Linked DNA regions of Oryctolagus cuniculus. The protein of the gene in region 3 interacts with the protein of the main gene of each other region in a pairwise test. Links are inferred from orthologs where the notes say so. Each region holds a gene or a part of one and is shown on either strand. Other genes may lie near its edges.

Region 1 (3,649 bases), on a different chromosome or scaffold from region 3:
GTATTCTTCTAAGCAAAATAAACTGCCTGCTAGTTGGTATTTTCATAAGTTCAGCCTGCAGATGGAAAATTGAATAATACTTTTATAAGGGGGTGCTTCAGAAAATCTGTGGAAAATGAGATTTAAAAATAAGTTTATTTTGGTGCAAAACAATTGAAATTCCATTCATTTTTTCATACTAATTTCAATGAATTTTTTGAAGACCCCTGAATGCTTAAAAAAAAAAAAAAAGTGATTTTTATTGCATTAAAATGCCAGAATGGGCGGAGCTGTGGCTTAGAGCATTAAGCAGCCTCCTGGAGAGCCAGCATCCTATGTGGGCACCTGCTGCAGACCTGGCTGCTCCACTTCCGATCCAGCTCCCTGCTAGTGTGCTTGGGAAAGCAGCAGCACATGACCTAGGTGCTTGGGTCCCTGCACCCATGTAGGAGACCCGGATGAAACTCCTGGCTCCTGGCTTTGGTTTGGGAGCCCAGCCCTGGCTGTTGTGACGTTTAGAGAATAAACCAGCAGATGCAAGATTGCTGTCTCTCTGCCCCTGCCTCTCCCTTTCAAATAAATAAATAAATCTTTAAATAAAATGCCAGATTTACTCCACATTGGTTGTTTTCTGCCTGTAATTTGGTGTTGTATGTAAGAAACCAAAAAAGTATTTAATCCCCTTATCTGCATGTAATTAGAAAAGGCATGCAATTAGATGATTTATAGTTCCTGTGCTTTTGATTTTTGAGTATAATCTTCATGTGAGTATAATTTTGATTTTTGATAAGTCTTAATTGTATACACACACACATATGTACCCTTAATTTAAGTATTAAGGAGTTCAAATATAGAGCCTGGACCAATTTTATTTTTAAATATATAAAAATAGATGGTTTGGTGTCCACAATGTGATGATTGCAGTGGTCTCCTTTAAGTAATTAAAGAATTAGTAATAGAAAAATTAAGGTATAAAAATAGTCAAGGTTCCAGGGCAGTTAATCAAGAAAAATAAATAAAAGGAATCTAGACTTGAAGAAGCAAAAGTAGCTCCATTCCTAGATAACAATGTATGTACAGAAAATACAAAGGACCCACAAAATAACCTCTTCTCCGACCAAAACCAAACTATTAAGCCATAAATGTATTGAACAGGGTTACAGACTATAATATGAATATACAGATTTCAGTTCTGTATTTATACAGTGGCAGTGTGATTGGAAATGAAATAAACAATTGCATTTACAACAGCATCAAAAAGTAAATATTTAGGAATAACTTTAATGGAAGGAATGCACATTTTGTTAACTGGGAGCTGCAAAATGTTGAAAGGAAGATAATAAAAATATCCCAGGTTTATAGATTATAAAGCTTAATATTGTTAATATGGTAAAACTCCCCAATATTAATATTTGGAGAAACTGTCATTTTATGGTATGTGAATAATGTCAATAAAAATGGATAAGATTAAAAACTGAAATAATATTACCAATATATCAATTTGAGGTAGACACTATTTGGGTATTTGTTTACTTAGAAGAAAAGGTTGGACAAAGATGATTTTCAGAAATGCATATATTTGTAATTTGTTATTTAAAAAGGCATGGAACCTGATATACTTTTTAGAGTTACATAACAGAACTAAATAGTTTTATAATTACAGAGTAAAACCCTTTATTTAAATGCCATGCTTTAAATGTCAGTTTCTTTTTTCTTTTTCTTTTTTTATTTTTTGACAGGCAGAGTGGACAGTGAGAGAGAGAGAGAGAAAGGTCTTCCTTTGCCATTGGTTCACCTTCCAATGGCTGCCGTGGTCGGCACGCTGCGGCCGGCACACGGCGCTGATCCGATGGCAGGAGCCAGGTGCTTCTCCTGGTCTCCCATAGGGTGCAGGGCCCAATGACTTGGGCCATCCTCCACTGCACTCCCTGGCCACAGCAGAGAGCTGGCCTGGAAGAGGGGCAACCGGGACAGAATCCGGCGCCCCGATGGGACTAGAACCTGGTGTGCTGGCGCCGCAAGGCGGAGGATTAGCCTAGTGAGCCACCGCGCCGGCCTAAATGTCAGTTTCCTAAAGCTTGATTATAGAAATTCATTAGGATGTATTATAGTTACCAATTTTATTTTACTTTTGATGAAAATATATTCCAGAAGTTGGAAGTAGGGGTTATTTAAAGTATTCAGTTGGTCCGCATTCATTGTTTGTTTACTGGATGCCAAGGTGATTACAATGGCAGTGTATAGGGAAGAACATTCCTAGTGGAGGGTCTCTGGAGCCACAGATACTACTGTACAGGTTTGAGTGAGGAAGTCAGTACTTACCTCTTCAGCTACAGCTTGAAGCCAAGTTACTGATGAATGTTTTTAGATAAAATCCTCCTTGTAAAAAAAATTCTTTATCTAGTAATGCCCCCATTAGTCTCATTATTTACACTGTTAAGATAATGCTGATAGAAGTGAACTGTCTTCTGCCATTTTAAACATTCATATTGAGACTTTCATTTAGTGCCCTCTACTGGTATTTAAAATCCTTTGTTTTTAGTGGGGAGTACTGAAGCATTATGGTGACCATTTAGACCATGAGCATTTTTAACCTACTTATACTCAGTGATTCAGACACACTGAAGGATTGCATTTGCCTCATAATTATGAACCATTTTAAACTTGGTGATTTTTTAATTATTTAAAAAGTTATGGTATCATTCCAGTCTGTATGGTGTTAGTTCATGACCTATTTGATCACGTAACATATGGGATAAGGGTAAATAAATCCTTTAGGCAAGCGTGACTTTCCAAAAGTCAGGAATTCTAACACATCCCAACTTTCCAATCTTATAGATTGATATGCTGCTGAAAGAGTATTTACTCTCTGGAGACATTTCCGAAGCAGAACATTGTCTTAAGGAATTGGAAGTACCTCATTTTCACCATGAGCTTGTGTATGAAGTAAGATTACTTTTCCATGCCAAGAAGATTGACTAGTGCCCCTTTTTGTGCCTGTAACTGAATGTTTCTTTAACATTACATTTTTTTTTTTTAAGATTGAGAAAGTGGTTTGTAAATTTTTGTAATGACCATAAAATCCCAGTCGTGCATGGTTAAAGAAAAGGGATCTGATGCATTTTCAGAATTTTTATATGAATTAATAATGAAAACTTGTTCTTTTATTCAATTTTTAGGCTATTGTAATGGTTTTAGAGTCAACTGGAGAAAGTACATTTAGGATGATTTTGGATTTGTTAAAATCCCTTTGGAAGTCTTATACCATTACTGTAGACCAAATGAAAAGAGTAAGTACCTAATTACTTTGAACAATTAATTTAGAATTCAACCTTAAATACATTACCGAATAAAGACTATCAGTGGAATTTTCTTTCAGGCATGTTTAGTATTATGCCTATAGGTTCCATGTTGGCTGTTTTCCCTTGGGCTCGGTTGAATCCAGGCACTCCACTGTGGGACACACACTGTGGGTGTGTGTCTTCATTTATTTTTGATTTTTTTAAAAAAGATTTATTCATTTGAAAGAGTTACAGAGAGAGAGACAGAGAGAGAGGTCTTCCATCTGCTGGTTCACTCCCCAGATGGCTGCAACAGCTGGAGCTGTGCCGATCCAAAGCCAGGAGCCAGGAGCCAGGAGCCACCTCCTGATCTCCCACATGAGTGAAGG
Region 2 (3,749 bases), on a different chromosome or scaffold from region 3:
TCTGAGCAAAGGGAGAGTGAGAAAGCAAATACATACATGAAATGCAGGGCTGGTTCTGTGCCATAGCAGGTAGAGTCACCGCCTGCAGTGCTAGCATCTTATATGGGCACCAGTTCGAATTCCGGCAGCTCCACTTCCAATCCAGCTCTCTGCTATGGCCTGGGAAGGCAGTGGAAGATGGCCCAAATCCTTGGGCCCCTGCACCCACATGGAGACCTGGAAGAAGCTCCAGGTTTCCAGCTCTGGATGGGCTCAGCTCAGGCTGTTGCAGCCATTTGGAGAGTGAACCAGCAGATGGAAGACATCTCTCTCTGTCTCTGTCTTTCAAATAAAAAAATAACTCTTCAAGAAATACATAAATCAATAAATGAAACGCACATCCTTTAGACTCAAAGTTATCAGGCACCTTCTCCCTGACTGGCACTCCATTTGGCCTCTTCATGTGGTAATCTCATTACATCATCACAACAATTTATTTTCTTGACAGGAAAATGTTTTCATTCAGTAATTATTTGATCACTCAGTTTGTGCCTGGCACCTAATCCCAAGGAAGAGGCCACACACATGATTCAGACGTACTTCCTGCCTCCAAGAGCCTAGGATCTAATAAGGGTGATTTATAATACCAATTAAATGTAATCAGTGTAATCGAAGACTTTAAGGTGGAACAAAACTGCCTCAAAGTTCAGATAAGGGAGTATTTCTTTCTGTCTGGGGGCGATCAAAGTTTGAGCTGACCCTTGAATGACAGGCAAGGTTTCAACAGCTAACAGCTAAAGCAGACCAAGAGATAAGAATAGCTCTAAGCCTGGCTTACCACATGGTTTGCAACTCACAATGGTTCAACTCGCAATTTTTCAATTTATGATGGCACAGGAAAGCAAAAAGCATTCAGCAGGAACAGTACTTGGAATTGTGGATTTGGATCCTTCCAGGGCTAGCGCTATGTGGCCTGGTCCCGTCTCAGAAGTCGGGCAGCAGAGAACACAGCTGCCAGTCAGCACTGTGACTCTGAGGGGAAACACCCAACACTCTACAGTGCCCTGGGCCCCCAAGCCATCAGCTTTGCTAGGCCAGGTGCGCTCAATGATTTTTGCACATGTTATTTTCAACCTATGAGGGGTTTACTGGGATCCAACCCCAGTGTAAGCTGGGGAGCATCTGCATGCTGTCTCAGAAGCTGTAAGTGTAACGGAATCACAGTGTTCAAAGGGAAAAGGACAGGGCCAGGGCCGCTGAGTGAAGATTCGTGCCTGCCTTCACCTCCCTCAGCCCCCGCTCCCATGTCTGCTGCAGCACTGCTCACAACAGACGAGACCCAGAACCGAGGGAGGGGCCATCATCTCAGGGACCGATCAAGAAAACGAGATACACGGACACCACGCAATGCTACTTGGCCATAAAAAGGGATGAGATCCTGTCATTTCCAACAACGTGGATGAGACCGGAGGTCGTGGAAAATGACGCCAGTCGGGCACAGAAAGACCAGACCCACGTGATCGCACTCACAGGTGGACTCTAAAAAAGTTAACTGCATAGAAGCTGCGAGTAGACAGCGACCATCAGAGGCTGGGGGTGGGGGCGGGGAAGGCTGGTTGGTAAGAGCTCCTCGGGCAGGAGCAAGAAGTTTCGGGGCTCTACCACACAGCAGGGCGACTATCGATAATGACCATGGGCTGTTTCTTTTCCGAAACAAACAACTACAAAAAAGATTTTGAACGTTTTCACCATGGAGAAATGCTACATGTTGGGGGAGACACGTCTGTTAACGCTGACATTACACAACGTACGCTTGCGCGGAAACGCCACAGAGTATCCCATAAATATAAATTAGAAAATTAAAAAAAAAAAAATTTTTAAAGGAAGCAGAACCACCCCAAACAGTTTACCCCGTCGGACCTCCCAGCTCCCGGGCGGCGCTTCGCTCGCGAGCCCGGCCCGGGTCTCCGCAGCCGGACACGGCTGCCGCGCCCGGGCCCCGCGGGAAGGGAGCCCGCGCTCGGCGCGGGGCTCAGGGCAGACGCCTGGGCGCGGCACGCCGGCGGCAACGAGCCGGCTCGGGAGCCCCTGCGTTATTAAGCCGGCCAGGCCCGTCGGGAGAGAGAAGGCCAGCGCCCCGTTCCTGAGGGAAGAGGCCAGGTCTGGGTCCCGAGCGGAGAGACAAGCTGGACGGAGACATGGGGACCCCGAGGCCTGTAGCATCACCTAGCTGTACTTACCGAAGAGGCTGCAACGTCCAGAGGCTTTTTCCTCCGATCCATAGTGGCGCCGGAGCGTCCCGGCCCACCGCCAGCTCTTCCTGAAGTCCCTCGGGTCTCACAGACTTACTTCCGGCGCAACCGGAAGTAGCTTTGACAGCGACTCTAAATCCCCGACGTCGGCGCCATCTTGTGAAGGTCTTAATGTGTGGCGCGTTTTACGTTCGCCGCCATATTGGGAAGGTAAGAGGGTGCCCGTGTTAGAGGACGGACTAGCGTTGGCGCCATCTTGAGAGAGGCTTTCCTTGCAAGGGACACCAACCATCTTGAGTGGGGAATGGGCGAGAGATGTGGATGGCGCCATCTTGAGGAGGGCCTGATAAATTCAAGATCTTCAGAATGGAAACAGCCGCTTAGGAGATTCGCAAAAATCCAAAACTTTGGAAGACTTGCTTTGTGCGAGGTCCTGTCTGGTGCTTTTCACGTGTTGATTAGTGGACTCTCGCAAAAGTCGTATTGGAGTAAATCCGTATTGCAGTATTGTCTTACACGTAACAGCTGTGTTAATAGCTGACATGAGTATGAGTATAGTGATCAGTTTTTTTTTGTTTTTTGTTTTTTGTTTTTTTACGTATTTTCTCGTAAGAACATTAACTCTAGCAGTGGGCACTGTGACACAGTGGGTTAAGTCACTGCTTGAGAGGGTGGTGTCTGGGTTGGATCCCCTCCCTGGTGCCACTTCCAATCCAGCTCCCTTCTAATGCACCTGGGAAGGCAGTGGAGAATGGCTGGAGGACTTGGGCCCCTGACACCCATATGGAAAACCTGGATAGAGCTCCTGGCTCCTGGCTCAGATATTGCAGCCCGTTGGGGAGTGAACCAGAAGATAGAAGATCTCTGTCTCTCCCTCGCTCTGTGGAAAGAACATGCACTCTAGAAACTGAGTTAGTGGGCTGGAGTCTCAGTTTCACCACTTACTGGGCTTTGTGACTTTGGGTAAGTTGCATTTTTCTGCACCTCAATTTCCAAAGGTGAATAAATTGTTTCTTCCTCGTTGAGATTATGAGAAGTAAATGAGTTAAGTGAGCTGGTCTTGTTAAAAATGTTAATGTCTGTGATAGACGGACTTGTGACACTCCCCCCCCCAAGATGTCTCCCTCCCAGCCGCCGCCCCCAACCCTCACCAATCTCTGAATCTACCAGTTAAAGGGAATTTACAGATGTGAGTCACTGACGCTGTTAAAATGGGGAGACTGTCCAGGTGGGCCCAGGCCACCACAGGAGTCCTAGTGAGAGGGGAGCAGAAGTTCAAAGTCTGTGAATGAGGTCAGAGGTGACCACACTGCAGGCTTTAAGGCGGGGGGAGGGGGCATGGCCAAGGGATGCAGGACGCCTCTGAAAGTTGGAGGAAAAGCAAGCAAACAAACAGAAAGAAATTCCTCATCCTCTAGGCTCTTCTGCGGTAGTGCACCATTACTGATATGTCATCTTAGCCTTAGCTCTAACATGCTGGCACGTGTTAGAGCTGGAACTTTTGGAACTACACCAGGA
Region 3 (3,649 bases):
GATGAGAAGCGGAGTAGCTGCCACGCCAGCACGGAGGGCCACAAGCAGCAGCCTTACCATGGTGCCACACCGCCAGCCGCACGTCTGTCGAGCGAGGGCCCAGCACGAACAGTCACACCCCCAGTGCAGCGGCTAGGAGAGCAAGCGAAGCCTCTACAGACGACCACCACACCTCCGTGAGCAGCATCTCAATTCCACGCGGCACCGGCCCACGCGGCCCACCACAGCCACCAGGGGGCCGGGCCACCTGACCTGAAGCGCTCCTGTGCTGCCGGGGACCGGCCTGACAAACCGCAGCATGAAAACCTTCGCTCGTGCCCGACCCAAGCCAGCTGCCCCCCCGCACTCGCGTCAGCAGCAAAGAAACCCTCGTGCCGCCCGTACCCTTGTTCAGCATCTCGTCAGCCTCGTCCAACACCAGCATCTTGATGGCGCGCGTCCTTAAGCTTCTGCGACGAATCATGTCTGAAAGACCAGACGTGCGTGGGGCGCTCAGACCTGGGACCACAGGGCAGTGCGGGCCCGGCCAGCCTCTCTCACGGTGTCTCAGACACCTTCCCCGCACCCCAGGGGAGACCCAGGGCAAAGACCCCCCAGGCAGCACGGCTCCAGCACTCACCGAAGACGCGCCCCGGCGTGCCGGCGACCACGTGCTGCCCGTAATCCAGCTTGCGGATGTCCTCGCCCACGTTGGTGCCCCCGATGCAGGCGTGGCACTGCACGTTCATGTAGTCCCCGAGCGCCAGCAGGCCCTGGGGCAGCACAGGGCCACGTCAGCCACGGCAAGGAGGGCCCTTCTACCCCAGGCCACGACAGTCACCAGCTACCACCTATGCCCTAAAGCCACAAAACCTCTCTGCTCTCTTTCCACCAAAATGAAGTTCATTTACCTTGTTTCTTATTAGGAAATCAATACATATTAACTAGAGTGGGAAACAGATAAAACTCCTACCTACCCCAAACGTTACTGTCCATCCTTCCAAAATCTATATGATATGTAAGTATAAACATTTTATTATTAAAGTAGTTTTTTAGTTAAAAAATTAATATTTATGGGGCCAGTGCTGTGGCATAGCAGGTAAAACCGCCACCTGCAGTGCTGGCATCCCATATGGGTGCTGGTTCAAGTCCTGGCTGCTCCACTTCCGACCCAGCTCTCTCCTGTGGCCTGGGAAAGCAGTGGAAGATGGCCCAAGTGCTTGGGCCCCTGCACCCACGTGGGAGACCCGGAAGAAGCTCCTGGCTTTGGATCGGTCCAGCTCTAGCCGTTGCGGCCATCTGGGGAGTGAACCAGTGGTGGAAGACCTCTCTCTCTAACTTTGACTTTCAAGTAAAATAAACCTTAAAAACAAAATTAACATTTATAAGGCCACAAAAACCTCCTGAAAACACACAGCCTATCCTAGAAATTACTTGATTCTAAGCAGCCACTCATATAACAAATGATGATTTGATTCTATCCAATAACTCATATAACAGATGATTTAGGGCAAAATGATAGGAATCAGGCAAATAATTTGAGGAGACAAAAAATAAATGAGATCCGACCCCCCAATCAGCACAGCCAGGGTCTTACCTTCTGAATCTGCACCGCGAGCTCCCTGGTGGGCGCCAAGATCAAAGCTTGCGTCTCCCGGACCTGGTGAAAGAACGCGACAGGCGACAGCCGTCCTCAGCATCCCCACACAGCCTGCGCGGCCCACACCACCGTCATCGGTGCTGCGCGACCGTGTACGACCCTCCTTCTGACTCCTAACAGAGGGAGCCAATCTCAACCACATCTGAACCACAAATCCAGCAACACTGCTTACCTGTTCGGACTGGGTTCAGAACAAAAAAAGCCTCCATTTAAACCAAAAGGAATGCATGACAGGTACTGTGCAGTTAAGGTTCTCGTTGGGGCTGGCTCTGTGGCATAGGGGGCTAAGACTCCACCGGCAGTGCTGGCATCCCGTATGGGCACCAGTTCTGGTCCCGGCTGTTCCTCTTCTGACCCAGCTCCCTGTCATGGCCTGGGAAGGCAGTGGAAGATGCCCAAGTGCTTGGGCCCCTGCACCCACAAGGGAGACCCAGAGGAAGCTCCTGGCTCCAGTTCAGCACAGCTCTGGGCACTGCGGCCATTTGGGGCAGTGAATCAGCCGATGGAAGACGTTTCTGTCTCTCCCTCTCTCGTCTGTAACTCCTCTCAAATAAATAAATAAATAAATCTTAAAGGGGGGGGGGGGGGCACCGGATTCTGTCCTGGTTGCTCCTCTTCCAGTCCAGCTCTCTACTGTGGCCCCGGAGGGCAGTGGAGGATGGCCCAGGTGCTTGGGCCCTGCACCCGCACTGCAGACCAGGAGGGAGCACCTGGCTCCTGATCAGTGCGGTGCGCCAGCCGCGGCGGCCATTGGCGGTGAACCAACAGAAAAAGAAGACCTTTCTCTCTCTCTCACTGTCCACTCTGCCTGTCAAATAAATAAATAAATAGATTCTCTTTGGTGCTAGTGCTGTGGCGTAGTGGGCGAAGACTCTGCCTGAGGTGCTGGCATCACATATGGATGCTGGTTTGAGTCCCAGATGCTCCACTTCCAATCCGGTTTCCTGCTAACGTGCCCGGGAAAACACCACTGGACGGCCCAAGTCCCTGGGCCCCTGCACCCACGTGGGAGACCTGGAAGAAGCTCCTGGCTCCTGGCTTCAGATCGGCTCAGCTTCAGCTGTTGGAATCATTTGGGGGGTGAACCATTGGATGGAAGACCTCTCTCTCTCTGCCTCACTCTTTCAAATAAATAAACCTTTAAAAAAAGGGGAAAAAAAAAAAAAGCAGACCTTAAGTTTCAAATTACCTGAATGTCCAAGCACTGGAGGACAGATATACTGAAGGTGGCCGTCTTGCCTGTGCCGGACTGAGACCTGGACACGGAGACACAGACATGGCAAGCGTTAAGAGCACAGTAGACCCCCCGTCCGTCTGAGAGCCCGGTCAGCTCCCGGCCACTCCCTCTGACCCCTCCGTCTGTCTGAGAGCCCGGTCAGCTCCCGGCTGCTCCCTCTGATGCATCCTGGAGGCAGCAGATGATGGACCAAGTGCTCCTGCCCCGCACCACGAGGGAGACCTGGACGGAGTTCCCAGTTCCTGGCTCAGCTCTGGCCGCTGGAGGCACACAGTGCGCAAACCAGCAGAGAGGAGAGAGCACCCCCCGCCGTCACTACCAGCAGAGGAGAGAGCACCCCCCCGTCACTACCAGCAGAGAGGAGAGCACCCCCCCGTCACTACCAGCAGAGAGAGAGCACCCCCCCCGTCACTACCAGCAGAGGAGAGAGCACCCCCCCGTCACTACCAGCAGAGAGGAGAGCACCCCCCCCGTCACTACCAGCAGAGGAGAGAGCACCCCCCCGTCACTACCAGCAGAGAGGAGAGCACCCCCCCGTCACTACCAGCAGAGGAGAGAGCACCCCCCCGTCACTACCAGCAGAGAGGAGAGCACCCCCCCCCGTCACTACCAGCAGAGAGAGAGCACCCCCCCGTCACTACCAGCAGAGAGAGAGCCCCCCCCGTCACTACCAGCAGAGGAGAGCACCCCCCACCCCCCCGTCACTACCAGCAGAGAGAGAGCCCCCCCCCGTCACTACCAGCAGAGGAGAGAGCACACACACACCCCACCCC

What was found.
Region 1: the proteins of EIF4A3 (region 3) and PDCD4 interact in binary tests that used the Homo sapiens proteins (3 or more experiments, as listed by UniProt). The two-hybrid records come from large-scale screens. The link is inferred for Oryctolagus cuniculus from reciprocal best matches to the Homo sapiens genes EIF4A3 and PDCD4.
Region 2: the proteins of EIF4A3 (region 3) and CCDC174 interact in binary tests that used the Homo sapiens proteins (3 or more experiments, as listed by UniProt). The two-hybrid records come from large-scale screens. The link is inferred for Oryctolagus cuniculus from reciprocal best matches to the Homo sapiens genes EIF4A3 and CCDC174.

Annotation. Positions count from the first base shown.
Region 1 is NC_091446.1:19,357,515-19,361,163, reverse strand, and holds part of PDCD4 (programmed cell death protein 4), read left to right. Parts: intron 1-2,817; coding exon 2,818-2,925; intron 2,926-3,158; coding exon 3,159-3,269; intron 3,270-3,649. UniProt on the Homo sapiens protein: Inhibits translation initiation and cap-dependent translation. May excert its function by hindering the interaction between EIF4A1 and EIF4G. Inhibits the helicase activity of EIF4A. Modulates the activation of JUN kinase.
Region 2 is NC_091441.1:113,440,466-113,444,214, reverse strand, and holds the start of CCDC174 (coiled-coil domain-containing protein 174), read right to left. Parts: upstream 2,360-3,749; 5' UTR 2,262-2,359; coding exon 2,220-2,261; intron 1-2,219. UniProt on the Homo sapiens protein: Probably involved in neuronal development.
Region 3 is NC_091448.1:2,080,264-2,083,912, reverse strand, and holds part of EIF4A3 (eukaryotic initiation factor 4A-III), read right to left. Parts: intron 2,896-3,649; coding exon 2,829-2,895; intron 1,640-2,828; coding exon 1,577-1,639; intron 753-1,576; coding exon 620-752; intron 466-619; coding exon 385-465; intron 1-384. UniProt on the Homo sapiens protein: ATP-dependent RNA helicase. Involved in pre-mRNA splicing as component of the spliceosome. Core component of the splicing-dependent multiprotein exon junction complex (EJC) deposited at splice junctions on mRNAs.